Linked DNA regions of Oryctolagus cuniculus. The protein of the gene in region 4 interacts with the protein of the main gene of each other region in a pairwise test. Links are inferred from orthologs where the notes say so. Each region holds a gene or a part of one and is shown on either strand. Other genes may lie near its edges. The genes, in order: TMEM203, TM4SF4, SFT2D2, CREB3, FDPS, TMEM115 and ALG3.

Region 1 (2,634 bases), about 39 Mb from region 4:
CTGACCCGGCCAGGGGTCTCCCAAGTGCAGGGCAGTGCGGTAGCGAGCCTACAGGACCGGCACCCCTCAGGCAAGGGGACACAGGCCCACAGGCTGGACAGGCTGTCACAGCAGGGTCAGCACACCTGCTCTGGGAAAAGCGGTCCCGAGCCCTAGAGGCCGTGGACACTGCTGGACGCCCTACAGCCTCAGGCCAGCACCCGTCCTCGGAGGACGGCCAGGCCCCGTCGGCCGAGGTGCCGGGTGCTGCCCTGCCACTCGGGCCGCGGCCACCGTCACACACCCTTCATCCCGAACCCTTCTAAACGTGGAAGCCTCCCCAGCTCACGAGTGGCGGGAAACCAGGGTTCAGGGCAGCTTTGCCCCCGGCCCTGCAGAGCCACACATGGCAGGTGCCCTCACCTGGGCGCCCCCGCTCGCCTCCCCTCCAGGTCCACCCCAAGCCCCGCCGTGAGACCCACGCAGGGGCCCGTCTTCAGGACGCACAGAAAACCCGCGCCTTTCCGGAAAGATTCTCTTTTATTTTTATCGCAGATGTTCCCACTTGGCACCCAACTGGCGTCAGACCAAAGACCGCGGCCGACAGAGCCGGCCACCCCGCTTCCCACCTGCAGGTCTCAATCCTCAGGGCACCGGGCACCTGTTCCTCTCGGCCAACCCCATGGCAGAGCGATGCTCCCAGCTGACAGCGGACGCGGTCTGACGTCCTTCAGGCCCTGCGTGGTGGCCGGGATGGAGAAAGGACATCAGGCAGGAGATCCACCATCTCACACAGCCTGGACAGCACGGTGCGACTGGAGCTCTTGGGTCAGCACAGCCGGGCCAGGAAGTCCCTGAGTCCAGCGGGGCAGCTGCTGTGCAGGCCCCGAGCTAACGGGAGAAGCAATGTCAGCCACGACTTCTGGGCAGCAAAGTGGCCGCTCGGCTGGGCAGGAGCAGGCGCTGTCTCTGGTGCAGCGGGCGGAGGTGGGGCCCCGGCTGGCCCACGCCCCGGGCTCGGGGTCCCGCACCCCCGGCGCGGGGCTGGCCGCCCCACAGGCCCGGGCACGCACCCCCGCCGCGGGGCTAGTTGACCCGACAGGCGCGGATCATGAGCAGCTGCAGCAGGATGAAGACGGGCGACGCGATGAGGCCGAACCACAGCTCCCGGGTCTGCTCCACCAGCTTCTGGCACAGCAGCATCTCAAAGACGAACTTGAGGCTTAGCACCGTGAGCACCCAGAAGAGGCGCAGCACGGCCAGCCGCTTCTCCCCGTCCTGGAAGAGGCGCACGGACACGATGGTGGTGAAGTAGGCGCTCAGCCCGTCGGCGGCGAACAGCGGCACGAACACGTTCCACCAGGACAGGCCGGGCGCCAGGCCGTCGGCGCGCAGCGCCAGCAGCACGGAGAACACCAGCAGGGCCAGCAGGTGCACGAAGCTCTCGAAGGGCGCGAAGCCCAGCCACTGCACCAGCTCCCGCAGCGAGAAGAGCATGGCGCCGGCCGCGCGCGGCCCGGGGCCTCGCCCGCCGCCCCCGCAACCGCCGCGAGCGCGAGGCAGCGAGCGGCCGCGCCGCCGCCGCCGCCGGCCGCCGCCCGGAACCCCGCACCGGCCGCCCGCCGACGCCCGCGGCGCTCGGACGCCATGCCCCGCCGGGCGCGGCCCAAGTGCGTCACTTCCGGTGGGCGGCGGAAAGCGGAAGTCGCCTCGCGGCGGGCGCCGGCGGTGCACCTGGTGGCGGGGACCGCCCCCCGGGGGAGCCGCGATGCCGAGCCCGCAGCTGCTGGTGCTGTTCGGCAGCCAGACGGGCACGGCCCAGGATGTGGCGGAGAGGCTGGGCCGCGAGGCCCGGCGCCGGAGGCTCGGCTGCCGCGTGCAGGCGCTGGACTCCTACGCGGTGGTGAGCGCTCCGGGGGCGCGGGGAGGGGGCCGGGCCGCGGGGGTGCTCGCAGGGGGCGCCCTCGGTGCGGTGTCCCCGCACGAGGTCTTACCTGCGTGTCTTCTCTTGAGGTGAACCTGATCAACGAGCGCCTGGTGGTATTTGTTTGTGCAACTGCAGGCCAGGGAGACCCCCCGGACAACATGAAGGTAAGGCTGGCCCGGGGGCTCCGCCCCGCACTTGGAGAGACACCGGCGGTAGTCAGTGGCTCTCCGCCGGTGCTGTCGGAGAAGCCTCGCCCTCCGTGTTCACCGCTCGCGGACAGGCTGGTCTGGTCTCCTGTGGCTCCCGGGGAAGGGCCTTTAGGTCTCGGTGCAGCCTGGGCACGGGCTGGGGCCGGGGCTCCCGGGAGCAGAAGCAGCGAGCGTGCTGGGCGGTCCAGTCGGCGCCGGAAGTGCCCGCGGCTGGGGAAGGTGCCAGATGCTAGGGGGGCCAGCCGCGGGGTGCGAGCAGAGCCTCTGGTCCTGCAGCGAGCGGGGCGCCAGGCCCGGGAGGAGGGTGCTTGGCGCTGCAGGGAGGGGCGGCAGGAAGCCAGGCCCAGTGCAGAGTGGCCGGGCAGCGGCGGTCAGGCAGGTGGGCCGGAAGCCGTGGGGCGACAGCTGTCAGGTCCAGGCCTTCTGCTCACCCACAGAAGGGGCGGTGGGCACGCAGGGGCTGAGGCGCCCTTGCAGGGCGGTGGTGGGAGGAGCAGAGGGGCAGCGCGGAGGGCCGCT
Region 2 (4,111 bases), on a different chromosome or scaffold from region 4:
GGCTCTCCTTCGAAGTTACTCACGTACCACACCTTAAAATCCAGGAGGAAGTCTGAAGCAGGGCCCCCTGTATCTTTTATTTCTTTCATCTGTTCACTCACTGTAGATCAACAACTCCAGTCGCTAGTCTGAAAAGTCTAGGGCTTCCTGGCTGTGTTGACCAGTGCTGATCCAATGCCACACTTCTAGAAGCACAAGACACAGTCCATGGAGAAAGAAAAAAAACCCAGACCCTGAAGGGGAGCAGACTTGCTCCAAGGTGGCACCAGCATTTGACTAATGCAACTTTTAGAAGCCTGGAACATTTTTCTTCTTTGCTGTTATTACTCCCAAAGCGCTTTGTCAAAAGCTGATGGGTTATAAATAAAGGCTACTGCCCACCTGTCTGGGTGTTGGGAAATAACCGGCTGCAGAGGGTCTCCTGGTGATCATGATGCACCTTGCTTTTTGTTCAACTAAAACTGGGCTCCCTAAGCAATTTTACCTGTTGCTCTCAGTTCCGACCTCCAAGCTCTCAAGGAAAAGCTGGCAAGGCTTCTTGCTCCACCCCTGATCCTTCTACTGTTACGTAAGCCCAGTACCAGGCAGGGTCATCGCGCACTGTGGATCTTAGTCTAGGCGTGGCACAGACTTTCTCTGATGACACAAAGCAACTGTATCGCACCCCTGGCAGTTGACAGAATTCCCAACAGGGGTGCGTTGCACCGCCTCCCACGCTTTGTCCTCTCTGCTTCCAGTTGAAACACAGATAATTCTCTCCGTCTCCTCTGCCCTGTGGAACTTCCTTTCCCCTTAGCCTTTGTGAACCCAGTGGTTTCCATTCCTCCATGTAAGATGTAGCTACGCGAGCTGAGTAGGAAAACCGCTTTAGCTAATTCCATCTCACCTGGTGGGAGACATCGTACACACTTGAGTAACCAGTAGAGAAACACAATGAAATAAAATAATTTCCATAGGCAATTAGACCATCAAATTATTTTCATGTTGAAGAAAACAGACCGCTCTTTGGCTTAACCTCACATCCCAGGTTCTCCGCGGAAAAGACCAAGCACACGCACTACAGACCATTAAGTTCTTGGGAGACAGAATCTTAACCAGGATGTAACTCAGTTATGAGGGTCATTTGTGAAGACCCCGGGGGGAAATATTTCTTTAACTGGGCAGGGGCATTGTCAGATTAGAGGGGCAGGGCTTTTAAGCGCTGTCCGTGCCAGCCCCGTCTTCGATCGCAGCAATGTGAGTGTCTTGTCGGTGCTGGTAGATTATTAACAGAGGTTATTGGTCTCCATGGCAAAACGATTGACTGATTGCACTGAGCATAATCTCATTTATGGGGGTGCAGGGAAAAAAGGGACGTCAAGCTGCGGAGAATTATAAATGTCCATCACCACTGAGGTTCTGCCATACTTGAGCGGCTGAAGTGACTCCAAGGACACAGCTCACAGGGATTTGGTTCTCGGTCCCAAAATACTGAGTGCACCGGGGACAATTACTGGGGCACTCCAGCCAAAACCCTTGAAGAGGCCCCGGGCAGGAGGCAGCCAGGAGTCCGTTGCTGCTGAGCAGTGCTGGGCCTCTCAGCATGTGCACAGGGAGCTGTGCCAAGTGCCTGGGGGGCACCCTCATCCCCCTGGCCGTGCTTGGCTTGCTGGCTAACATCCTGCTGTTTTTCCCGGGAGGGAGAGTGGCGGACAACAACGACCACATTACCACGGAGGTCTGGTATTTCGGAGGAATATGTGGAAACGGGATCTTGGTGAGTAGGGAAAAGCCTTACAGTCTGCCTACCTGGGCTCCCCCTCCGTTCTATCCTAAGTGCAGTCCTTACCGAACAGAGACGCAGTTCTGGGTTAACGAAAGCCCGAGCAATGCGTGCTGAGCAGGCAGTGCATAGTTGATGTCCTCGCTCTGTTAGACTGACAAGGACAGTCCACTGGGTCTACTGACTAATCCCCTGGCTTGGGCTGGCGGTCCTCATGGGACATTCAAGTCCTGTGAACCAAATCGATGGCTGCAAAAAAAAAAAAAAAGAATGCTTTCTAGAGACTTGATTGGCATAAACTACCAAGAGATGCAGGCGTCAATGGAGTCTTCCTCCATTGGTGAAAGATTTCTTTATCCCTGGTTTCCAGCAGAATTGGGAAGCTCTGGTGGGACGGGAGCTTTTCCTGTCCATTGAGGAACAGCTCCTCGGTCGTGTGCTAACCCACCACCTAAATAAAAACTCGGGGTGCCAGACCTGAAAGCTTGCCGTGTTGAAGCTGAAGGCAGTCGGGTCGAATGGAACCTTAGCTCCCATTAACGCTCCTTCTGCCCAGCCAGCCATGCCTGGCTGGCGTTTGCCGCCCAGCCCCTGGGAGCCTGCAAGCCCCCCTGACCAGGGACGGGGCTCCTGACGCAGCCAGACCTCCCTCTGAGACTTTTCTCTTGCTGGCAGATGATCTTCCCTGCGCTGGTGTTCTTGGGCTTGAAGAACAATGACTGCTGTGGGTGCTGCGGCAACCAGAGCTGTGGGAAGCGGTTCGCGGTGAGTTCCTGCGGCAGCCAAGAGGGTGCGCTGTGTCTCCCAGGATGGGCAGCCTGGGGCAGGGGCAAGTGAGCCCACCCCCGCCAGGACTCTGGGGGCCAGCTGGGGCGGGGAGAAACCTGGGAGTCTTGCTGTTGGTACAAAATAACAACAATGATACATCTGTATAGGAGGCAACCTTCAAACTGGTAGGGGATGACACCTCTGTTACCAGGAGGCAGGGTAGTCGGAGCTGGGGAACCAGAGTGGTGCCATTTAAAGGAAGTAGGCTTGGAAGGTGCGGGTGGGGGATGTAGCTCTCCCCCTGCCACGGACAGGCCACGGAGTCTTGGACAAGGCATTGCCTTTCTCTGGCCCTGCCTTGTTTCAACTGTAAAGAGAATTTGAGACAGGGTAAAAGATGGCACATTCCCCCTCCCCCAACAGCTCCCCAGTCCCCCACCTAAGCCACTGCCGGGTCCACTATCTCTGTGCCCAGCAGTTCCCGGCTCCACCCAGGTTCTGCCTCCGGACCTCGGTTTCCTCTCTTGCTTTGTGTGGCCCTCCATCTGTTAGCTGGAGAGCTGGAGAGATCAGGCAGGTATCAGCCTCTGGGAAGGGGAGACGATGCTGGGACCCGGGGTTGGGTCCCCTTCTTGCAGCTGGGCAAGTCCCTGCGCTGTTCTGCCTCCCTTCACGCCTCTGAAAACGGAGGAAGTGGAACTAGATCAGAATTTCCCACATTTGGGGCCAGTCCCGGTGGTAGGTATCCGGATGCGCTTTATCTTTGAACAGCAAAGAATGTTTTCAATTCTTTTTCAATCCATGTAGTTCTAGTAAGGAAAAAAAAAAAAAAAAAAAACATTTTGATGGCGCTCAGTCTTTATTATTTCAGACCCTTTCTAATCGCCCTGTAGAACAAAGGAAGTACAAGTCTCAGGCTCCAGGAACACAAGCAACATTAACTAAAATTCAATAATGTGTGCTTGTGTCCGCTAATGAGGCTAGTTCTCATTTATAATAGTGATATAAATGAATAAGATACAGAGTTACTTGCAGAAAAAAGCACTGAGTTTAGGTATATCGATGTGGGGGAAATGAAGAAGGAAAAACTAGAATTACAGGCTGGATGATGAGTAAGGCCAGGTTTTCCTCTAATCTCCACGGTTCAATTCCATCTAAGAGACTTGTGAACCCCAGCAGTAAACTGTACACACTCACTTCAACTTCTTAAAGGGAAAGATGTTTCAATCCTTCTGAAACAGAATCGTCTGAACGTTTCTTTCTCATCATTATCTGCTCATTTATTCAATTAAATATTTATTGGAGGGCAAAGACTGGTGCATTGTGCATATATGTGGGTACTTCCAAAAGTTCATGAAAAATCAGATTAAAAGGTAAGTTTATTTTGGTGTAAAAATGATTTAATTCGTGTACAGTTTTTTTATAGTACTTATTTTCCATGAACTTTTAAAAGACCCTTTGTACTAGTTTTCCATTTGAGATCGAAGATCATTCAGACAATGTATTCAACCTTCTAACCACTGTCATGGGTCTCAAAAAAGTATTGATAATTATTCCTTTAACATCTAAAATAATTATTTT
Region 3 (4,086 bases), on a different chromosome or scaffold from region 4:
GGTTGTACCATTTGACTGACTTGGGTATGGTTTTGTGCAAATCCCTTTGCTTAATTATTATTAAATTCTAAGAGATCCAACTTCTTGGTAACATTAGAATTCCTACTTAGTTCCTCAGCATTGTTGTGAGTATTAGGAGCAGATGCTGTAACCGATCTTCCAGTGGGTGCTCCTGAAAATCTATGCATGTTCCTGGCTGATTCAATCTCAGAGTAGGTTTCCCAGGCCTTATCCAGCTACCAGTTTGCCACCTGAGTCCATGATTTGCCTTTGATCTTGCCTAGGGGATAACACATGGATTCTCCAAAACCAAGCATTAGCACTGGAGTCTGGTGGGAGGTCAGTAAAACAAATCATTTAACAAACAGAACAGTCTAATATTGCTTCCGGGTCCACCAAGGTCTAACACGTGCCTCGAGATCACCCACCTTGATGCATTTCCAGGTGGAAATACAGCAGTGTTGCTGCTTCTCTTTCTTAAGATTTATATATTTATGGGAGGCCGGCACCGTGGCTCAGTAGGCTAATCCTCCGCCTGTGGCGCCAACACACCGTGTTCTAGTCCCGGTAGGGGCGCCAGATTCTGTCCAGGTTGCTCCTCTTCCAGGCCAGCTCTCTGCTATGGCCCGGGAGTGCAGTGGACGATGGCCCAAGTCCTCCCCGGCGGCCATTGGAGGGTGAACCAACGGCAAAGGAAGACCTTTCTCTCTGTCTCTCTCTCTCTCTGTCTACTCTGCCTGTCAACAGCAAAGGAAGACCTTTCTCTCTGTCTCTCTCTCTCTCACTGTCCACTCTGCCTGTCAAAAAAAAAAAAATTAAATATTTATTGGAAAGGCAGAGTTACGGAGAGCACGATGAATTTTCCACCTGCTGGTTCACTCCCCAAATGGCCACTGTGGCCAGGGCCGGGCCAGGATGAAGCCAGGAACTCCATCCAGGTCTCCCATAGGGGTGCAGGGCCCATTTTACACTGCCTTAATGATAATGCCAGGCGCATTATCAGGGAGCTGGAAAGCAGTGGGGCAGCCCGGACTCCAACTAGGGCTCCTATGGGATGCAGGGGGAGTTGCAGCGGGCTCAGCTACTCTTCTTTGCCATCTCTACAAAGCTTGTTGGATGGCGTTCACTCCAGTTAGCCTCGCCCGATTTTTTTTTAAATCTCTTCCCTGTCAGTACACTCACAGGGTGCATCAGCCAGGGCACCCGTTCCCAAGTGCGCACGAGGCCGCACCTCCTCCGGTCCGCAGAGCCAGGGGCGGCCGCGCGGGGCACGCCGGGGCCGGCCAGGTGGGCAGGTACCTGGGCGGGGCGTGCCGTGGTTGGCGGCGGGGCGAGGGGCGGCGGCCGCCGCGGCCCAGACCCGGAAGAGCCGTCGGCTCGGCGAGCGCAACAGGCTGCTTGCCGAGGGACCAGCCCCGCGATGGACAAGCTGAAGAAGGTGCTGAGCGGGCAGGACACCGAGGACCGCAGCGGTCTGTCCGAGGTGGGTATGCCCGGGCCGGCCGCACCTCGCCGGCCCCCGACTGTCCCCAGCCGATGGCCGTGCCCCCGGCCCGGGCCTCCGAAGTCGGCGCCGGCGGATGCGGGCGGGAAAGCCGGGCAGGACTTCCAGGGTTCCTTGGAAAGCAGCTCTGCCCCTGTTGCTTCCTCCCCGCTACCCCACTGCGGGCCTCCGCTAGGACCCCCGACCCAGGGGACGGGAGCGCAGGAGCTTTTTAGCACGGGGCTTGTCGCCCTCTGTGTCCTGTTTTGTTCTGCGCCCGGTCAGCCTTCTCAGCTTCATTTCCCGTAAAGAGGGGGCGGCGCTGGAGGGAGAGCTCGGAAGAGTCTGCGAGAGCGAGCGAGCTGGCGTGCAGGCCCTGGGCTGGGGGCGCTGAGCCGAGGCGGAGAGAGCCGTGGCCCGGAAGGTGGCTGGTCCGGGCTGGCGGGGCTGAGGCTTCCCGGTTCGCTGCCCCGCGCCCGCCTCGGCTGCACAACTGGCTCCACGAGCAAACCGCGAACTCCCGGGGGACAGGGGCCAACCCCCATCCCCTATGCCTCTCTGTTCACGCCGTCTGCGCCTAGGCTCTGCCCGCGCCTTTGTTTATTTTTGATGGAGCAGAGAAACGCGGTCGCTAATGCCCGGAGCTCTAGAACCGCACAGCATCGTGTTTCTGTTTTGAGTGCTTTTTATAGCTTTGGTTTTCGTTTGGCGTTCTGGATGGCAGACAGCGTTTTCCTCTGCTGTTTGGTGCATTCCGTAGTCTCACTTTTCCCACCTGTGAAGTTAAGGACGTTGTGCAAGATGATGCACCTGCTTTCGGCTGGGAACTCGAGTTTTCGCTGTAGCTTGAGTCTGTTTTCTCAGCACGCCGCTTTCCCGCTTGGGGGATTGCTGATTTTATAATGCGTGTTGTTTTGTATGTTGCTAGTACCTCCACTCCCTCCGTGAAATCTCAGTGTAAAATCTGTTCTTTGAATCTTTGCTTTGAAGGGGTGAACACTCTAAGAGTCAAGGGTTAGCAAAAATTGAAGTTTGACTGTTTTTTTTTTTTTTTTAAAGATTTTTATTTACTTATTTGAGAGGTAGAGTTACTGAGAGAGAGAGAGAGAGAGAGAGAGAGAGAGAGAGGTCCTCTGTCCGCTGGTTCACTCCCCAGATAGCCACAACAGCTGGAGCTGAGCTGATCTGAAGCCAGGAGCTTCCTCTGGGTCTCCCACTTAGGTGCAGGGGCCCAAGCACTTGGTCCATCCTACACTGTTTTCCCAGGCCATAGCAGAAAGCTGGATCCAAAGAGGAGCAGCCAAAACTTGACCCAACACCCATATGGGATCCCAGCAATGCAGGCGGAGGCTTAGCCCACTACGCCACAGCGCCAGCCCCAAAGTTTAAAAACAGTTTATTTATTTGAAAGGCAGGGAGAGAGAGAGAGAGAGATCTTCCATCTGTTGGTTCATTCCCCAAGTGTCAGCAACAGTTAGGGTGGGCCGGGCTGAAGCCAGGAGCCTGGAACTCCATCTGGATCTTCCCGTGGGTGGCAGAACCCAAGTACTTGGGCAATCATATGCCATCTTCCCAGGGTGTGCATCACAGGAAGCTGGATGGGAACCAGGCAGGACTCAATCTCAGGCCCTCCAGTGTGGGATGTGGGCATCCCCAGCCTGATGTGCTTGGGATGACGTGTTCACTGGTTTGGCTTTTCTGACATTGCAACACAGCTCTGTTGGTTTTAAAAAATTTATGACCTTTATTAATTGGCCAAAGCTCAGGAGTGATTTGATGGGTTCTTTTTTCTTGATTTCTGGTCTCTTGTGAAGAAAGGTCTGACACTCAGGAAGTTGATCCTTATTGTTCCTGAAAGCCTTGTGGCCCCACTGACTGCCCCCAAACTCTTAGGAGCTGTGGGTACTCAAGAGGGAGACCCTTGGGGCACGCATTGTGGCCCCCAGCATTCTGTATCTGAAGGCTGGTTCAAGTCTTGGCTGCTCCGCTTCTGATCCGTTCTTCCTGCTAATGCAACTGGGAAAGCAGCAGAAGATGGCCCGAGTAACTGGGTCCTTGTCACCCATGTGGGAGACCTGGCTGGAGTTCCAAGCTGGGCCCAGCCCTGGTTGTTGTGGGCATTAGGGGAGTGAACCAGTGGATGAAAGATCTCTCTCTCTCTCTCTCTCGTCTGCCTTTCCAATAGTTCAGTAAATCTTAGAAAAAGAGGGTGACCCTTTCTCCTCCTGAAGACTCTTGGGGGTGATGTGGATATTATGCATTAGAAAGTCTTCGTGAGGCAGTGGACGGGCCCTCAGAAGTGCAGTTGGGAAACATAAATGCTGTTTGTTTTTCCCCTGAAGTGGTGGATGCCGTGGAGGGCTTTAATGTGTTGTCAGTGCACACATGTATTAAATCTATTTTACAAAGAGTGGATGCCCCTCTCTCGTTCTGAAATACGAGTCCCTCTGAGTGAGATTCATTTTGTGTGCTTCTTGTGTTTCCTCGGAAACATCTTGTAGCCGGCAGACGTGTTTTCAGGGCTGTCTTGGCTTAGTTTTTACTGCCTAGGCTAGGTCCTCCTTGAAAATGCCGGCACTGATGCAGTGGTGTCGCGTTTTCAT
Region 4 (4,025 bases):
TCCCTTGTCTAGCCTCCCTAACCAGTAGCCATTTTGGTTTCCATCAGAATGCCTCTAAAGACCAGGTGTTAAGATCACAGGTGCCAGAGCATTTTTAACAATTTCATTCACTGAAAAATTTCTTACCCTGAATTAACATCTGCCTCCATGTAATTTCTATCCATTGAACTTATCTCTGGGGTCGTGTAGAACAAAATTCTACATAGCTGTTTTAAGGCTGTTGGCATTTCCTCAGAGTTTAAAAAAACACACACACAAAAAAACCCTGGACAGACTTCTTAACCCAACATTTCACCATCACTGCATCCTCTTGGTATCTGTCAAAGATACAGGCCCAAAACTGGGCACTTAAAATGCACTGTGATTTGTACAAAAGACAGCAAGACAGTCTTGCCTTTTTAGAGACAATGCATGTATTGACGCTGCTTCCACATCCCACTTGCTTTGCCATATCTCACTGCTGACTCATCTTGTACTTTTAAGAAGTTAAAATTTCTTTAATAAGTACTTATTTTATTACAGGGTCACAATACTGTGCTTGTGAAGTCACCACCCAGTGTTGAAACTTAAAACTTATGCTTCTACATTTGTACTGTTAGAAGGCTTAGTCCAGGCCGGCGCCGTGGCTCACTAGGCTAATCCTCCACCTTGCGGCGCCGGCACGCCGGGTTCTAGTCCCAGTCGGGGCGCCGGATTCTGTCCCGGTTGCCCCTCTTCCAGGCCAGCTCTCTGCTATGGCCTGCAGCTCTCTGCAGTGGAGGCTGGCCCAAGTGCTTGGGCCCTGCACCCCATGGGAGACCAGGAGAAGCACCTGGCTCCTGGCTTCAGATCAGCGCAGTGCACCAGCCCCAGCAGCCATTGGAGGGTGAACCAACAGCAAAAGGAAGACCTTTCTCTCTGTCTCTCTCTTTCACTGTCCATTCTGCCTGTCAAAAAAAAAAAAAAAAAAAAAAAGAAGGCTTAATCCAGCCTCATTGAACTCCCTAAAACAATTCTCCCATTCAGCGCGATGTAGATTACCACCAAGCCGATGAACTCCAAGTGGCAGAGCCCTTCCCTTGCACAGTCCTGCCCAAGGCCCTACGCTAATGTTGCATTGATAATTCTGAAATCTTTTTTCTTAGAACACCAAAATGTGTTAGAAGCCTCACAAAACCAGGATCCACCCTTGCATCTAGCATATTAACCAACAACTCTGCTAAGATGTTCACCTCTTAAGTGTATCTTATTTTTGACACTGATATTACACACATCTATAGGATACAGAGTGACATTTAAGTAATGTATACAATGTAAAAATAAGTAGGGCAGGGTAACTGGCACATGTATCACTGCAGACATTTATCATTTCTTTGAATCAGAAACTGAATATCCTCTCTGCTAGCTATTTTGAAATGCAGCTGCTACCAAGCATAACGTTAGAAGTGACTCCTATCTGACTGCATTCCGGTACAGGTCGACCAGCCTCTCTGCACTCTCCCTCCCCTACACCCTCCAGCCTTTGCCCCACCAATGGGAGCCTTACCTTGGTGAGAGGAAGCGTTCCAGGCAGAGTAAGCCCCTCCTTCTCCAGTAGCCTCTTCTCCTCCTCGGTCAGTACCAGCCTAGCAACCTCCTGAGGTTACGGGGAAGTAGGCAGCAGTTGCATGGGGATGTCCGAAAGAAATGGGAATTCCCGCCCCGCCCCGCCCCGTGCAATGTGGGGATAAGCCTCCTGAAAATCAAGTCAGCTACCTGCTCTGTTGGCTCCTCCACATACAGCGGAGTCATCGGAGCCTCCTCCTTCCCATAGCTCCCACTATCTGCAAAAGGGCAATTGTGACTAGCCGGGCCCACGGACCCTCTCCTCTAGCTCCCAACTTTTCTGATGTCACTCACCTACGTCCACGGAGACATGCTCCTGTGGGAGGGAGTAAGTGTGATCGTGGTGCACAGGCGAGGGCTCGCAGGAGCTGAGGTCGGCCAACGACGCCGGGGGACTCAGCAGGGTGCTCAGCAGATCCTCTGCCTCCCAGTCGCTCAGTACCTGCACCGGGTTCAAATTCCCAGGCCCTGGCCTGTCACTGACACCCGGGTCTCGCGGACGTGCCGCGCCTCCCTGACGCGGAGCCCTACCCACCCACCTCGGAAAGCGGCAGCTCCCAATCCGGGGGCGCCTCCACCGACTCATCGGCTGCCTCCCCCCATGCTCCGCTCTGCTCGAGCAGGAAGCCGAGCAGGTCCTGATCGCCAGGGTCCAACGCCAGCTCCATCTGCGACATCTACGGCAGAAACTCAAGGGTTCACTTCGCAGCCCGGTTCCAATACGCGAGCCCCAGGCACGACCCCCAGCCCAACCGCCGGGTCTCTCCCGCCTACCCACCGCTCCTCTTCGGCTGGCCTTCCCCGCTGCCGGGGCGGCAGTCGCTGTCAAGCCCGACCCACCCACCCGCCGGACTCCGTCGCCCTCGGCCTCCAACACAGCACAAGTGACGCACGCGGCCCCGCGGCCTCTCGGGACTTGTAGTTCCCTCCGAGCCGGAAGTGGCTCGGGTGCTGCGCCACGTCCCGGGGGCGATGCAAATGAGGGGGACGTCCCCGCCCCGGGGGCGGGGACACCGGCGACTCGCCTCCGCCTTCGCCCCGAGCTAGAAAAAAGGAAGAGTCCGAGTGTAACAGGGAACTCGGGCGCCGCTGGGGTGTTTTCTCCGGATTGCGCCGCGCCCTGGCTTCCTGCCGGGGAGGGGCTGCCAGTCTTCGGCGGGCTCGCGAGCATCGAGAGCTGGGGCCAGAGCAGCTTCCTGCAGGTCCCCAAAACCATAGAGCGCGGGCCCAGGGCGCCGCCCGGGGGTGGGGGACGCGCCGGGGACGGAAGTGGCCGAGTGTGGCGAAGGGAGGGCGAGGCCGGAGCCGGAGAGCGGGCCCGGAGGACGAGCAGGGCCGGCGGGCGGGGCGCAGAGCCGGGCAGCGCAGGTAGGCCGCGGCGGGCCGGGCCGGAACCTCGGGGTGGGGCCGCGAGGTCTGGCCCGGGAGGCGGGCGGGCGCGGCCCCTGACTGCGGCGCGTCTATGGCGGGTTCTGGGGGAGACGTCAGCTTCCAGGGTGTCTCGGCAGGCCGATCTGCGGGAGGTGGCTCCTCTGCGGGAGCAGTCCTTGGCCTGGAATAGGTTTTGGGGAAGGGTGAGGAGTGTGGCGGCCGCGGGGCGCAGGGCGGGGATGGGCTTTGGTGTTTGCTGATAGCGGGGATGTTGGGCTGGAGAGCTGTGGATGAGTCTGGGTTTAGGTGGGGTTGGGTTTGGGAATCAAGGGTCTCTTTAGGAGGTGTAAGGCCGGGGTTAACGCTTGAGTTATTGGCGTGATTTAGATCCGTTTTATAAATAAGTGAGGTTGAGGTTGAGGTCGTTATTTTGTTTCCTGGGATGACCAGAGGTAAGTCAGAGTTAAAAGAGTTCAGGGTCAGGTTAATGGTCAACAACAGGAATTAGGTTAGAAGTCCATTTTAAGGATCATAGGATATTGTCGTGGTCAGTTTTAAGGATAAACAGTGAAAAGGTGAGTTAGGAATCAAGTTACAGGTGAGCTAATTTAGACTTAGGGGTCAACATTTTGGGTTAAAGTCAGCAGATTTGGTGCTAACGGTAAAAATTAGTTGAGCCTTAGGGATCAAGGATTGGATGCTTGCTGGTCTCTGCTAGGAGGGGGATTCTATGAGAATGAGGAAACAAATTAGGGCACTAAGGGCAGACCCAGGCCAGGAATATTGACCTTGGGCAGATAACATTTAAGAGGTCGGCAATAGATCGATGCCTTTGGTGTGTGTGTGTGTGTGTGTGTGTGAGAGAAAGAGAGAGTGGGGGGGAGGGAAGTCCCCTCATTTTTATTTAGTCACAGGAGCTTCTTTCAGCCAGAGAGATGACACATTTTGGGTTGGGGTTCTGGACTTCAGGTAGAATTTCCTCGATTCCTCTCTAAGCTCAATGCTGTTGCTGTGGCCACCACAGTTACGGGGCAGGGATTGCTGGACTGTGTTCTGTATGAGATGGGAGG
Region 5 (4,112 bases), on a different chromosome or scaffold from region 4:
GGAATATATATATATATACACACACATATATATATGATGTATTATGATGTATTCATTTATTTGAACATTAGAGAGAGAGAGAGAATCTTCCATCCACTGGTTCACTCCCCAAATGGCCTCATATTGCTGGGCCAAGTGGAAGCCAAGAGCTTCTTCAGGTCCCCCATGTGGATGGCAGGGACCCAAGAACTTGCGCCATCTTCCACTGCTTCCCCAGGTCATTAGCAGGGCGTCGAGTGGGAGGTGGTGCAGCCAGGACTCGAACTGGCATCCATGTGGGATGCCAGCGCTACAGGCAGCGGCTTAACCCACAGAGCCACAGTGCCCCACGTCCTGTTACTGAGCTGTGGGGATTTAGGAGGGTTAATGGAGGAAGAGCCAAAGTGGTCAAGCCAGGCATGTATGGTTGAGGGGCCTCGTTATAGTCTCACTTATAGTTATAAAATTCAGCATTTTATATTCATTGCCTCTTGATTTTGTCCTGATGCAACTGATGAAGAAAGCCAAGAAATCAATTGGACCGAGGGTCACAGCTATTAAGTGATTTCCCTGAGTTGGAGAACTAATTAATGTCAAAGTTGACCCTTTTTGTAAAAAAAAAATTATTTATTTGAAAGGCAGAGCTACAAAGGAAGAGGGAGAGAGAGAGAGAGAGAGAGAGAGAGAGAGAGAGAGAATGAATCTTCCAACCGCTGGTTCACTCCCCAGATGGCCTCAATGGCAGGAGCTGGGCCCATCAGGAGCCAGGAGCTTCTTCCAGGTCTCTCACATGTGTGCAGGGGCCCAAGGACTTGGGCCATCTTCTACTGCTTTCCCAGGTCATAGCAGGGAGCTGGAGCGGAGGCTTTGTCGCCGAGTCGGCCCCCAGTTATACCAACCTGCCACGCCGCTGTGCAGGAATATAACGAAAATGGGAGCGGAGAGTAAGGCAACAGCCAGGAGGCAGAGCGGGGGCGTGGGCAGCTGGTTAGCCGCCAGCACTGCCCCCGCCCCCGCCCGGGGGCCTGCGTCCGCTAGGCTGACAGCCCTTGCACAGCCCTTTCATTGGTCATCCGCCACAGAACCCATGCTCATACGAGGGCAAGCACCCAATCAGCGATGCTCGTCTCCGCCCAGCCGGCCCACGCTAGATCGCGCTGTTTCTGTCCCCCCCGTGGCACGCCGGGAGTTGTAGTCTAATGTCGCGTCTCTGCCGGCGAAGGAGGGAGATTCGGAACTACTCCACCCAAAGGGCTGAGCGCGGATCGTGTTCGGCTTTTAGGAGTAAGCCGCCAACAATCTGGCTCAAGCAAGAACCCGCATCCAGGAACAGGTGAGAGAGGTCGCGTGCTGGGACTGGAGGCGGAGGTCCGAGACCCGGCCTTACTTCTCTAGGGATGCTGTGGGGCACGGGAAGCCCAGTCTGTTGTGCTGGGGTCGGTGGCTCAGCCAGCCGGCCCTCTGGCTGTGCGGAAACTCCCGAACTTCGCCCATGTGTTTTCCTGACACTGCCCACCATGTCGGACCTGGGTTTACTCCTGCTGCGAGCCCTCCCCGCCCGCCCAGAGTTGCTCCGAGGCCATCTGCCCAAATCCCAGCGCCTCCTGCGAGGCTCGGGATGCCCCGTGCTCGCGCTCCACCGCTTGTGTCCGCAGCACCCATGGGGCGTAACTCAGAGCCTGGGCACCCCGCTTCATCGTCTGTCTAGGAAGAGCTGGCTTCTAGATTTGGCAGTGCTTCTGCCCAGCTGCCCTCTTAGCTCCTAGGCCCCCCAGTTTGGCTTCTGTGTGATTTAGGGATCCTCTTAACCCTAGTCCTGGGGTGCCGCGCTCTGCACCCACTCCTTCTCCAGCCTCGTGCACGCAGCCTTCGATTCTAACCTTACTCCTAAGTGGCTATCTGTTGGGTCCCAGTCACCAGCCCTACTTTTTGTTCCCTGAAATATCCTTTCTGTAGTTATTCCCAACTTTTGCCCCCAAGGGGGCGGGGCGTTGTGGGCCAAGAAGTTTAAAAGGTTGGTGGGGGTCTTCCAGGAGCTGCGACCAAGCAGCTGCCTTCGACCAAGCAGCTGCCTTCGGTGCTTGCCCCTGCAGGGAGTGCTCGGTGCCCCCACCCCATGCCACTCCCACGATGCCCTTGTCCCGCTGGCTGAGATCTGTGGGGCTCCTCCTGCTGCCAGCTCCCTGCTGGGTGCCCCGGGAGAGGTTGCTGGGTTCCCTACGGAGGCCCTCTCTGGTGCACGGGTACCCGGTCCTGGGGGCCTGGCACAGTGCCCGATGCTGGTGCCAAGCGAGGACAGAGGAGCCCCGGTGAGTGTGGTTGGGGTGAGGGGTCTTGGGGAGGGGAGCACCGGTCGGGTCTCTGACTTGTTCTTCCCTTCTTCAGAGCACTTTGCTCCTCTCTCATAATGAACGGAGACCAGAAGCCAGATGCTTACGCCCAAGAGAAGCAGGACTTCATCCAGCACTTCTCGCAGATCGTCAGGGTGCTGACCGAGGAGGAGATGGGGCACCCGGAGACGGGCGACGCTATTGCCCGTCTTAAGGAGGTGAGGGAGGCGTGACTGGAGCACGTGAGCCACTGGGCACCCTGCCCTTGTGTGTGGGCTACAGCTGTGGCTTTTGGTTCTGGACAGAGAAAGGAGGAGGCTTTTTAGGGGTGGCTTTGGGCAGGGCTGTGTGGGGTGCCTGTTTCAACCTGACTTCTGGCTGTGGGAGGGGATGGGCCACCCACACTGCTCTGCGTGGAACCGGGTAAGGCTGTGGTTCAGTGTCCTGGAGTCGGAAGGGGACAGCCAGGGGAGGAAGGCGGGCTGGGGGGTCCTGTCTCCCCTAACCCGGAACCCCCCCCCCCCCAGGGTGATTGCTGTGATGCTGAAGTTGCCTAATCGTTTGCTTTTGTTCCTTTGGAGTGTCTAGTAAAATTCTTTCTCTAAGCGTTGTCTGTCTCGTCTCTGAGGGGACCCGAGGGAAGGCGGGGAGGGCTCTGTCCGCGTGGAGATGGGGATTGAAGGGGACGTCGGCTCCGGGGCAGAGCAGAAGGCAAAGTGAGACCCAAGCACTGGGCAAGGCGATGCAGCCAGAGTGCGCCTGGGCACGAGGGGACCCGGCCGCTGTGCCCATGACTTGGGGGAAGGCAGGGGAGCAGCTCCCTGGAGGAGGAGGTGGGGTTAGGGAGGAGAAAGGTAGGTGGGAAATGGATCTCCAACCTGGGTCCCCTCCAACGCCTCCTCTGGCCAACTTTGGGGGGCCTTGTCTTTCGTAGGGAGGGAGGCTTTCACTGCAGGTGGGCTGAACTCTGGGTAGCAGGTGTAGGGCAGAGTGGTGAAGGGGAGGTCCAGGGACGTGGGGATGGGGCAGGGACCTGAGAAGGAGGCCTGAACAAAATGCGTGCTGAGCATCTCCTGAGTTCAAACCCCGTTTAGGGTTGGGGAGCAGCATTGAATCCACTATGGAGCCTGGGCACTGGCTGTCTCCAGGACTTCAGGGAAGGAGCCAAGGGAATAGCAATTCCAGGGGCTCCCTGGAGGAGGCGCTGGGGAGGCTACAGGAAGGGGGCACTGGAGAATGGGGGAAGGCAGGGAGAACCTCAGTTGGTGTCGTGTGGACTCTGACGCCCTGTCCCTCCCCCTCGTTGCCAGGTCCTGGAGTACAATGCCATTGGCGGCAAGTACAACCGGGGTTTGACGGTGCTGGTGGCCTTCCGGGAGCTGGTGGAGCCACGGAAGCAGGACGCTGAGAGTCTCCAGCGGGCCCTGACCGTGGGCTGGTGTGTGGAACTGGTGAGAGGGGCTTCCGAGAGGAGGGCGCAGGGGCCTCGTGTCTGTGCTTCTGTGCCTCTCGTGTGCTGGTGCCAGTTTTACCTAGGGGATCACTCCCGGGGTTAACAAGCGGGGGCACCCTCCTTGGTCATCAGCTGTATAAATAAGTGCAGGTAGACGAGAACCTGGCCTCCAAACCTGCCAGAGAGGCCTCAGCTCTGTGCTCGGAGCAGGAGACCTGCACTGCGTTCCTGAATGCCAGGCCTTTGGGGAGTGAACCACTGGGGAGTTCTGTCTGTCTCAGAAAATCTGTACGTGCTTGTAAAATCTGTTGGGTCACTCCCCAAATGGCTGTAACAGTTGAGGCTGGGCC
Region 6 (4,089 bases), on a different chromosome or scaffold from region 4:
TATTGTTGATATTTGAGCGCCCTATAGTTTGGTTTTCTAAGTCTGGCCATCCTAGCTGGCCGTGGCAGCCACCAGCAGCCTGTGCGATGCAGGCGGCTCTGTGCACTGAGCCCAGTGGCTGAAAAGAAGGGATTTACACTTTATACGATAAAGTACTTTAAAATTTTTTTTTTATTTATAGAGTTACAGAGAGAGGGAGAGACAGAGGTCGGTCTTCCATCTGCTGGTTCACTCCCCAAATGGCCACAACGGCCGGAGCTGTGCCAGACCAAAGCCAGGAGCCAGGAGCTGCTTCCCTGTCTCCCATGTGGGTTCAGGGGCCCAAGCACGTGGGCCATCCTCCACTGCTTTCCCAGGCATATTAGTAGGGAGCTGACTGGAAGTGGAGCAGCCTGGACTCGAACTGGCGCCCATATAAGATGCCGGCAGCGTCAGAGACAGCTGCTTAACCCACTGAATATCAACGCTGGGCCCAAAAGTACTGTTATGTTCTAATTACACATTTTTAAAAACTGAGACGTATATCTACCATAGGATACAAACTGTCAGGAGCCCCTGTGACGTGAGTAGGGGGCCCAGGCTTGTAGGGGAGCCTCTGGTGGGGAGCAGAGTCTGGAGGGCAGCCCAGCCTCACCTCTTCGGGAGCGGGAGTCCTGGGTTCACTTCAGGGTCCACCTTCCTTGTGTCCAGGGCAGCGTGAGCCACACACACGCTAAGCAGCCAGGTAGACTGGCATTTTACACTCCTGTTCCCTTTTATCCTTAGGGTAGAAAGGTTCTGCCACCATCTGCATTTTACAGCCCATGACCTCGAGTTTCAAAAAGGTTCTGGAACTCGGGCACTGTCACACAGCCGCCAAATAGCAGCGCAAGGATTCCAGCCTGGGTCCAAGCCCATCGACCAGACCGCGGAGGTTCCAATAGTCCCCACACATTGGTTCACACACCTGCTCACAAGGACAGGTGTGCATACACAAACGGAGCTACTTTTCCCGGACAATTCAGCAAGTGTGTGGCCTGAGGCGGTGCTGCCTCCGAACCTGCCTCACCGCTATCCGAGGTTGGCAATACTCCATCACCCACCCCACCCTACCCCTGCCACTTTCCAATAACCAGCGGAAATGGTCTTCAGAACTACAACTCCCAGCATACGCTCTCATCACCGACGGGGATGGTGCGCGCGTACAGCCTCCTGGGACTTGTAGTTCCACCAGGAACCCCGTTCCGCTCGTCCCCGGCGGCGGCCAAGGACTCAGTATCCCAGCATGCCGAGGAGCCGGAAGGCAGGCGCGGAGGGCATCCCGCCGCCGCCGGGGGCGCGCAGGCGCGGCACCCCTGTTTGTTGGCCCCTGAGAAGGAGGAGGTACGGTCGAAGCCAAGACCGAGGCCGAGCCGGAGCTGACCCGGCTTGACTCGGGCCCAGAGCAAGGCGTCAGCCCTGCGCGGACTAAAGGACTCCGGAGTGGATGGAGAAGGCGCAGTCCTGAGATCAACGCTAGCCCGGCTGGCCTGGCGCGCGGCCTACAGGGCAGGCAGGCAGGCAGGCGCGCCGAAGCCGCCCGGGGCCTTCCCGCAGGTCCTGGGCGAGGGGCCTAGGCTCCGGCCCGGCGACAAGGCCCGGTTCGGCCCCTGGGCACCACAGCCCTCTCCGACCGGAAGCAGGTCCTTCACCAGGGACACAGACCAGTGACTAGGCCGGACCCGGGCCTCCCGTCGGGGCCGGGCTAGGGCGAGCCCCGGGGAGGCCCCCAGCCCCGTTCCTGCAGGCCGCCGCCCGCCGGGAAGATGCAGCGCGCCCTGCCTGGCGCTCGCCAGCACCTGGGGGCCGTCCTGGCCAGCGCCAGCGTGGTGGTGAAGGCGCTGTGCGCCGCGGTGCTCTTCCTCTACCTGCTCTCCTTCGCCGTGGACACGCGCTGCCTGGCGGTCACCCCGGGCTACCTCTTTCCGCCCAACTTCTGGATTTGGACCCTGGCCACCCACGGGCTGATGGAGCAGCACGTGTGGGACGTGGCCATCAGCCTGGCCACAGTGGTGGTGGCCGGGCGCTTGCTGGAGCCCCTCTGGGGTGCCTTGGAGCTGCTCATCTTCTTCTTAGTGGTGAACGTGTCTGTGGGGCTGCTGGGGGCCTTCGCCTACCTCCTCACCTACATGGCTTCCTTCAACTTGTTCTACCTGTTCACCATCCGCATCCACGGCGCGCTGGGCTTCCTGGGTGGTGTCCTGGTGGCACTCAAGCAAACCATGGGGGACTGTGTGGTCCTGCGAGTGCCCCAGGTGCGTGTCAGTGTGGTGCCCATGCTGCTGCTGGCGCTGCTGCTGCTGCTGCGGCTGGCCACGCTGCTCCAGAGCCCGGCCCTGGCTTCCTACGGCTTCGGCCTGCTCTCCAGCTGGGTGTACCTGCGTTTCTACCAGCGTCATAGTCGGGGCCGAGGGGACATGGCCGACCACTTCGCGTTTGCCACCTTCTTCCCCGAGATCCTGCAGCCCGTGGTGGGGCTGCTGGCGGACGTGGTGCACGGCCTCCTGGTGAAAGTCAGGGTCTGCCAGAAGACGGTAAAGCGCTACGACGTGGGCGCCCCGTCCTCCATCACCATCAGCCTCCCGGGCACAGACCCGCAGGACGCCGAGCGGAGAAGGTACCGTGACAGCTTCCCCCCACCTTGCCAGGCTAGGAGGGCGCTGCGCGAGTCACCTGCCAGCTGAGTGCCGGGCCGAGGCCGGTGTCGGGGCAGCCGATCGGAGAGAGAGCCGGTCTTTGGGGTTGAGGACATCAGCATGTGGGTGGCTGGGCTCCGGCAGGTGCTGTGCGAGTCTAAGGCAGGGAGACTCGGAGTCCTCCACGTGGGCGCGCTGGGAGCCACAGCCAGCCTCCCGGGCCTGCACCCTGAGAGGGAGGGTCAGGGAAGGAGGCCTCGGGTCCCTAAGAGCTGGCCTGGGCCAGCCCAGTCCCCGGGTGCTGACCTGCAGCCTCTCCCTGGCCCCTGACCCGGACTCTGCTTCGCCAGCCTGGGGTATCGCCAACTCTCCCCCCCCCCCCTCGGCAGGCTGTGCTGCTCAGCCCGGGGACAGGCCACCTGACCCCCTCGGGAGCCCGCTGCCCGCACCAGGGCTGAAACCCCCTTTTCCTCAGGTGCAAACCAAGTCCCGCCGGGTGACCCGCTGGCTTTCTGATTCAGCTCTCCCCAGGGCGTCATCAGCGCCGCGTCACTGGGAGGCAATTGCTTGAGTGGTGCAGCCAGGGCAGGCCTTGTGCCGGTGCAATGTCAGGGGCTCCCCGTCTCCCCCTGTCAGGTGGGGTCTGGCAGGAAGCTCTGTGAGCAGAGCTGAAGAGTTGGCCCTGCCCTCTCTCACCTGGCGCCGTGCGCTTCCAGCCAGGCACGGGCCAGAGTACTGTGAGCCCAGCCGGTGGGCGCTGGAAATACACCTGGCACGCCGGGCCCAGCTCTGGGCCGTGCAGCGTGGGTCGCTGTGGGCGACAAGGCCTCTAGACAGCCGTCCGGCTCAGCTTCTCCAGTGGGGATGGGCCCAGGACACTGGGCCTGCTGGGAGGGGAGCTGCCCTCAGAGCTCTAAAGGGGGGCCGGGCCAGGCGGCCCTCCTCCAGGGAGAGACCTTGGGTTACCAGGATCGCTGGACACCAGAAAGCAGACAGGAGGCGGGGGGGCAGGGTCAAGGTGGGCTCTGAGCCCAGCCTTTTGGTCGGCTGACGTGGGGTGGGGGTTACTCCCACCAGAGCGCTGCCAGTAGGGGGAAGCAGGGTTCCGTCCTCTTCCACCCTGTGAGGAAGCGACTGCCGGCAGGCCTCAGCCCGGCACGGGCACCTGGGATGGAGCCTAGGTAGCACAGGGAGGGCGCCCTGCCTGTGCCAGGCCTGGCCTGCTGGGAGCTTTGGTTCTCCGCTGGAGCCTGGAAGGCTGCACAGGCTGTCCCTGCGTGGGCAGCAGTCCAGGGCGGGGGATTACTGCCTGGGGGGCCTTCCCGCCTCCCCCCACAGTGGGCCTGGCCTGGGCCCTGCCCATGTGGACTGCACCGAGCTCTGCTCTAACACAGGTCTTGGTGGTCTTGGGGATTCTGGGAAGGATGACGTCTGT
Region 7 (2,829 bases), on a different chromosome or scaffold from region 4:
CCACTGCTTCTCATTCCCTCCCCAGAATCCTTGTGCCCCAAGAAGTGCCTGCCGGTGCTCTCTCCCACTCTTCCCACCCCAAACCCTTTGGCTGTGTGCTCTGAGCTCTGTGCAGCACAGTGGAAGGGGAGAGACCCACAGTTCCTAATTCCTATGCAATAAAGTGCCTCTTAGGACTTCCAGAGTGAGTTCTTTATCTGCCCTGTACATACCTCACCACTGTGTCCACACACCGGCTGCCCCTGCCTCCATGTAAGCTGCAGAGAGGTGGACTTGGCAAGGTTTATTCCCAAGGGCACTGAGTCCAACCCACCCGGGGTCCTGGGAGTGGACTGGAGGAGGACGGGGCGGGTTTCAGTGGCCTTTCTTGTCCTGCTGGACGTTCTTGGGGAAAGGCTGCGGGCCCAGCCACAGCTGCAGCAGGATGACGGCATGGCACGCGTGCAGGGCAGCAGAGCTGCAGGACGTGGATGGGTACGTGTTCCAGGAGAGCTCGATGAGCCCCAGCACCAGCAGCCTAGAGATGAGAAGAGGCTCTGGGTTTTGTCCAGTGTCAAGGCCTGTAGTCCTGCTCCTCGTGCCCTACATGCGTCCGTCCCCCAGCACCTCCATGGTTGCAGCCTTGGCACAAGGAACTCCCTCGCCCCTCCCCCACCCCCAGGTGTCCCAGCCAGTACCTGAGCAGGTGTGTGAGCCAGCGTGCAGGTGTGGCCCACAGGAGGTAGGGCAGTGTATGGAAATACCAGACATAGAACTGGTAGTGGAGGGAGCGGCTGAAGCAGATGCCAATGAAGTTGGAGGTGAAAAGGATAGAAACGATCTGTATTTGATGGTCAAGGCCAAGGGCAGGAGCAGAAAAGGGAGGAGTCGAGGGTTCCCAAAACATAGGGGAAAAGTTTTAGGATCAAAAGTCCCCCTCGCTCAGCCATTCCCAGATTCACACCTTTGGGCGAGTTTCTTCACCTCTCTGGATCTGTTCTTTAGTCTAACCTGGAGCCAGTAACAGCCAAGGCTGTAAAGCCTAATGAGTGAGTCCCTTACTAGCTGTGTGATCTTGTTAAGTTCCCTAATTTTTAACCCCTTAATTTTGCCATCTGTAAATGAGAGTGGTGACAGTACATCCCTACCTCAGGGAGTGTCAGAATGCACACGGATCTCTTAGGACAGCATGTGAGCACTCATACTGGGGGCTTACTGTTTAGAATTGAGAATAAACTTCAATATGTGAACTGCTCAGCTCAGCGACTGGTACAGAGCAGGGACGCTACGAATGGGCTCCCGGTACCTGTCTCAGGTCAGCAGCCATCCGGGCCTGAAGACTGGAGCTCCGTCTGCCACTGCAGATGGGAAGACTTACCTTCCAGTGATTGAAAGGATATGATTGGGGGTGAGGGGCTGGGGCGGGACCTTCCTTTTGGAGGGATCCTTCAGCAGTGACAGGATACTTTCCCCCGACCTGGGGAGAAGCCATGTAGATATTCATCAGGTCCCCACTGTGGGCCAAACTCTAGACTCGCCCCCATGAGCTTGACCTCTCCCCCAAAGCAGCCCTAAGTCCAGGGCCCTTCACTCCTTCCCCCAACTCTGCCATGCCACTCCCTTTCTTACCTGTGCCACCTGCAGAGAGCAAACAGCAAAAGCAGGGAGAGGTGGGCGGCCAGCAGGGCCAGGTGGAAGGCCCGATGCAGGAAGAGGGCCTCAGGGAGGAAGCGCCAGTTCACTGTCCAGCGGAAGAGGAACTGACGGCCCAGGTCAAAGGAACGGGATAGGTAGCCAATGGGGTTCTTCAGCAGGAAGGGCAGCCCCAGCACCACCTGAGGATGGGTCTGATGTGGGCAGAGCTGCCAAGGTTCACCCCACGCATCATGCGAACCACTGAGGGGTGCAGGAGTGGGATGGAGGCCCTAGAGTTTCCCTCATTCTCACCAGGAATAGCAGGAAGCCACCCCCAGCCAGTGCGGGGGCCAAAGAAGCCAAGGAGGCAGAGAATCACTATGCTTTAAAGTTTCGATTCACCAAGTCATAATGGGCAGAGCCAAATCTCTCAGGGACCACCCAGTTCAACATCCTTGTTTGATAGCTACTGAGATGAAAGCCCAGAGACAGCCGCAGCCCAGCCAAGTTCAGAATCAACTCCAAAACCCCATCCCTTGGCTTTGAGGAAGTTCCAGGGGTCAAAGGAGGCCAGACAGGTGGCTTCCCCTTCACTGGAAAAGGGCAGGGTGAGGTACCTGGAGGACAGCACAGATGCCCAGCTTGGGGAGGGCCCCACGGAAGCCAAACTGGGTGAGGAGGAGGAACAGTAACCCAGGGGCGAAGAGCAGTATGTTCATCTTCACAGAGACTGCCAGGCTGGGGCGGGCAGGGAAGAGGAAGGGGAGAGGTCAGCCCTAGGGCCATGCCTCCCACCCAAACACCCAGTTCCCTATTGGCTCCACAGCAACTTTTTCCTCCAGGCCAGCAAGCTCCAGGATGGGGCCCACATTCAGAACTGCTGGAGGGAGGGCAAGGTCATTTGGGAAGAGGTCGGGGTAGGGGTAGACACCTAGCTCTACTCCCAGACTGCGTAAACATGTACTGGGTATTTAGAACATGCCAAGACCAACTCCAACAATGGGGAGAGAGGCAGGGAAGAGGGCACGTGTGGTGTGATGGTGGACACGCCCCACAGAGCCTGGACTTGCCCTGGGGGCCCTGAGTAACCCACATTGTTTTCTGGCCACTCCATAACTCCCTCTGCTGCAGGAAACTGGGAAGAGCGAGCTAGAGATGCCAGAAGTGAGGGGTGCTGACCTGAAGCAGCAGCAGCCCCAGCCCCAGCGCTGTGCC

What was found.
Region 1: the proteins of CREB3 (region 4) and TMEM203 interact in a two-hybrid assay, tested with the Homo sapiens proteins (2 studies listed by BioGRID and IntAct). The two-hybrid records come from large-scale screens. The link is inferred for Oryctolagus cuniculus from reciprocal best matches to the Homo sapiens genes CREB3 and TMEM203.
Region 2: the proteins of CREB3 (region 4) and TM4SF4 interact in a two-hybrid assay, tested with the Homo sapiens proteins (2 studies listed by BioGRID and IntAct). The two-hybrid records come from large-scale screens. The link is inferred for Oryctolagus cuniculus from reciprocal best matches to the Homo sapiens genes CREB3 and TM4SF4.
Region 3: the proteins of CREB3 (region 4) and SFT2D2 interact in a two-hybrid assay, tested with the Homo sapiens proteins (2 studies listed by BioGRID and IntAct). The two-hybrid records come from large-scale screens. The link is inferred for Oryctolagus cuniculus from reciprocal best matches to the Homo sapiens genes CREB3 and SFT2D2.
Region 5: the proteins of CREB3 (region 4) and FDPS interact in a two-hybrid assay, tested with the Homo sapiens proteins (2 studies listed by BioGRID and IntAct). The two-hybrid records come from large-scale screens. The link is inferred for Oryctolagus cuniculus from reciprocal best matches to the Homo sapiens genes CREB3 and FDPS.
Region 6: the proteins of CREB3 (region 4) and TMEM115 interact in a two-hybrid assay, tested with the Homo sapiens proteins (2 studies listed by BioGRID and IntAct). The two-hybrid records come from large-scale screens. The link is inferred for Oryctolagus cuniculus from reciprocal best matches to the Homo sapiens genes CREB3 and TMEM115.
Region 7: the proteins of CREB3 (region 4) and ALG3 interact in binary tests that used the Homo sapiens proteins (3 or more experiments, as listed by UniProt). The link is inferred for Oryctolagus cuniculus from reciprocal best matches to the Homo sapiens genes CREB3 and ALG3.

The regions. Positions count from the first base shown.
Region 1 is NC_091432.1:237,493,020-237,495,653, forward strand, and holds TMEM203 (transmembrane protein 203), read right to left. Parts: upstream 1,477-2,634; coding exon 1,066-1,476; 3' UTR 501-1,065; downstream 1-500. Other genes in the region: NDOR1 (NADPH-dependent diflavin oxidoreductase 1), read left to right, coding at 1,627-1,882, 2,042-2,070. UniProt on the Homo sapiens protein: Involved in the regulation of cellular calcium homeotasis. Required for spermatogenesis. Acts as a regulator of STING-mediated inflammatory signaling in macrophages.
Region 2 is NC_091435.1:131,995,143-131,999,253, reverse strand, and holds the start of TM4SF4 (transmembrane 4 L6 family member 4), read left to right. Parts: upstream 1-1,311; 5' UTR 1,312-1,582; coding exon 1,583-1,756; intron 1,757-2,437; coding exon 2,438-2,527; intron 2,528-4,111. UniProt on the Homo sapiens protein: Regulates the adhesive and proliferative status of intestinal epithelial cells. Can mediate density-dependent cell proliferation.
Region 3 is NC_091438.1:30,514,871-30,518,956, reverse strand, and holds the start of SFT2D2 (vesicle transport protein SFT2B), read left to right. Parts: upstream 1-1,286; 5' UTR 1,287-1,420; coding exon 1,421-1,483; intron 1,484-4,086. UniProt on the Homo sapiens protein: May be involved in fusion of retrograde transport vesicles derived from an endocytic compartment with the Golgi complex.
Region 4 is NC_091432.1:198,639,847-198,643,871, reverse strand, and holds the start of CREB3 (cyclic AMP-responsive element-binding protein 3), read right to left. Parts: upstream 2,801-4,025; coding exon 2,363-2,800; exon of another isoform or gene 2,359-2,362; intron 2,262-2,358; coding exon 2,124-2,261; intron 2,027-2,123; coding exon 1,879-2,026; intron 1,803-1,878; coding exon 1,735-1,802; intron 1,616-1,734; coding exon 1,526-1,615; intron 1-1,525. UniProt on the Homo sapiens protein: Endoplasmic reticulum (ER)-bound sequence-specific transcription factor that directly binds DNA and activates transcription. Plays a role in the unfolded protein response (UPR), promoting cell survival versus ER stress-induced apoptotic cell death.
Region 5 is NC_091438.1:43,239,661-43,243,772, reverse strand, and holds the start of FDPS (farnesyl pyrophosphate synthase), read left to right. Parts: upstream 1-1,312; intron 1,313-1,962; exon of another isoform or gene 1,963-2,072; 5' UTR 2,073-2,109; coding exon 2,110-2,288; intron 2,289-2,364; coding exon 2,365-2,527; intron 2,528-3,619; coding exon 3,620-3,760; intron 3,761-4,112. UniProt on the Homo sapiens protein: Key enzyme in isoprenoid biosynthesis which catalyzes the formation of farnesyl diphosphate (FPP), a precursor for several classes of essential metabolites including sterols, dolichols, carotenoids, and ubiquinones.
Region 6 is NC_091441.1:98,960,911-98,964,999, forward strand, and holds the start of TMEM115 (transmembrane protein 115), read left to right. Parts: upstream 1-1,289; 5' UTR 1,290-1,784; coding exon 1,785-2,635; intron 2,636-4,089. UniProt on the Homo sapiens protein: May play a role in retrograde transport of proteins from the Golgi to the endoplasmic reticulum. May indirectly play a role in protein glycosylation in the Golgi.
Region 7 is NC_091435.1:93,820,390-93,823,218, forward strand, and holds part of ALG3 (dol-P-Man:Man(5)GlcNAc(2)-PP-Dol alpha-1,3-mannosyltransferase), read right to left. Parts: coding exon 2,794-2,829; intron 2,353-2,793; coding exon 2,232-2,352; intron 1,827-2,231; coding exon 1,609-1,826; intron 1,457-1,608; coding exon 1,379-1,456; intron 822-1,378; coding exon 678-821; intron 518-677; coding exon 355-517; coding exon of another isoform or gene 284-354; 3' UTR 1-283. UniProt on the Homo sapiens protein: Dol-P-Man:Man(5)GlcNAc(2)-PP-Dol alpha-1,3-mannosyltransferase that operates in the biosynthetic pathway of dolichol-linked oligosaccharides, the glycan precursors employed in protein asparagine (N)-glycosylation.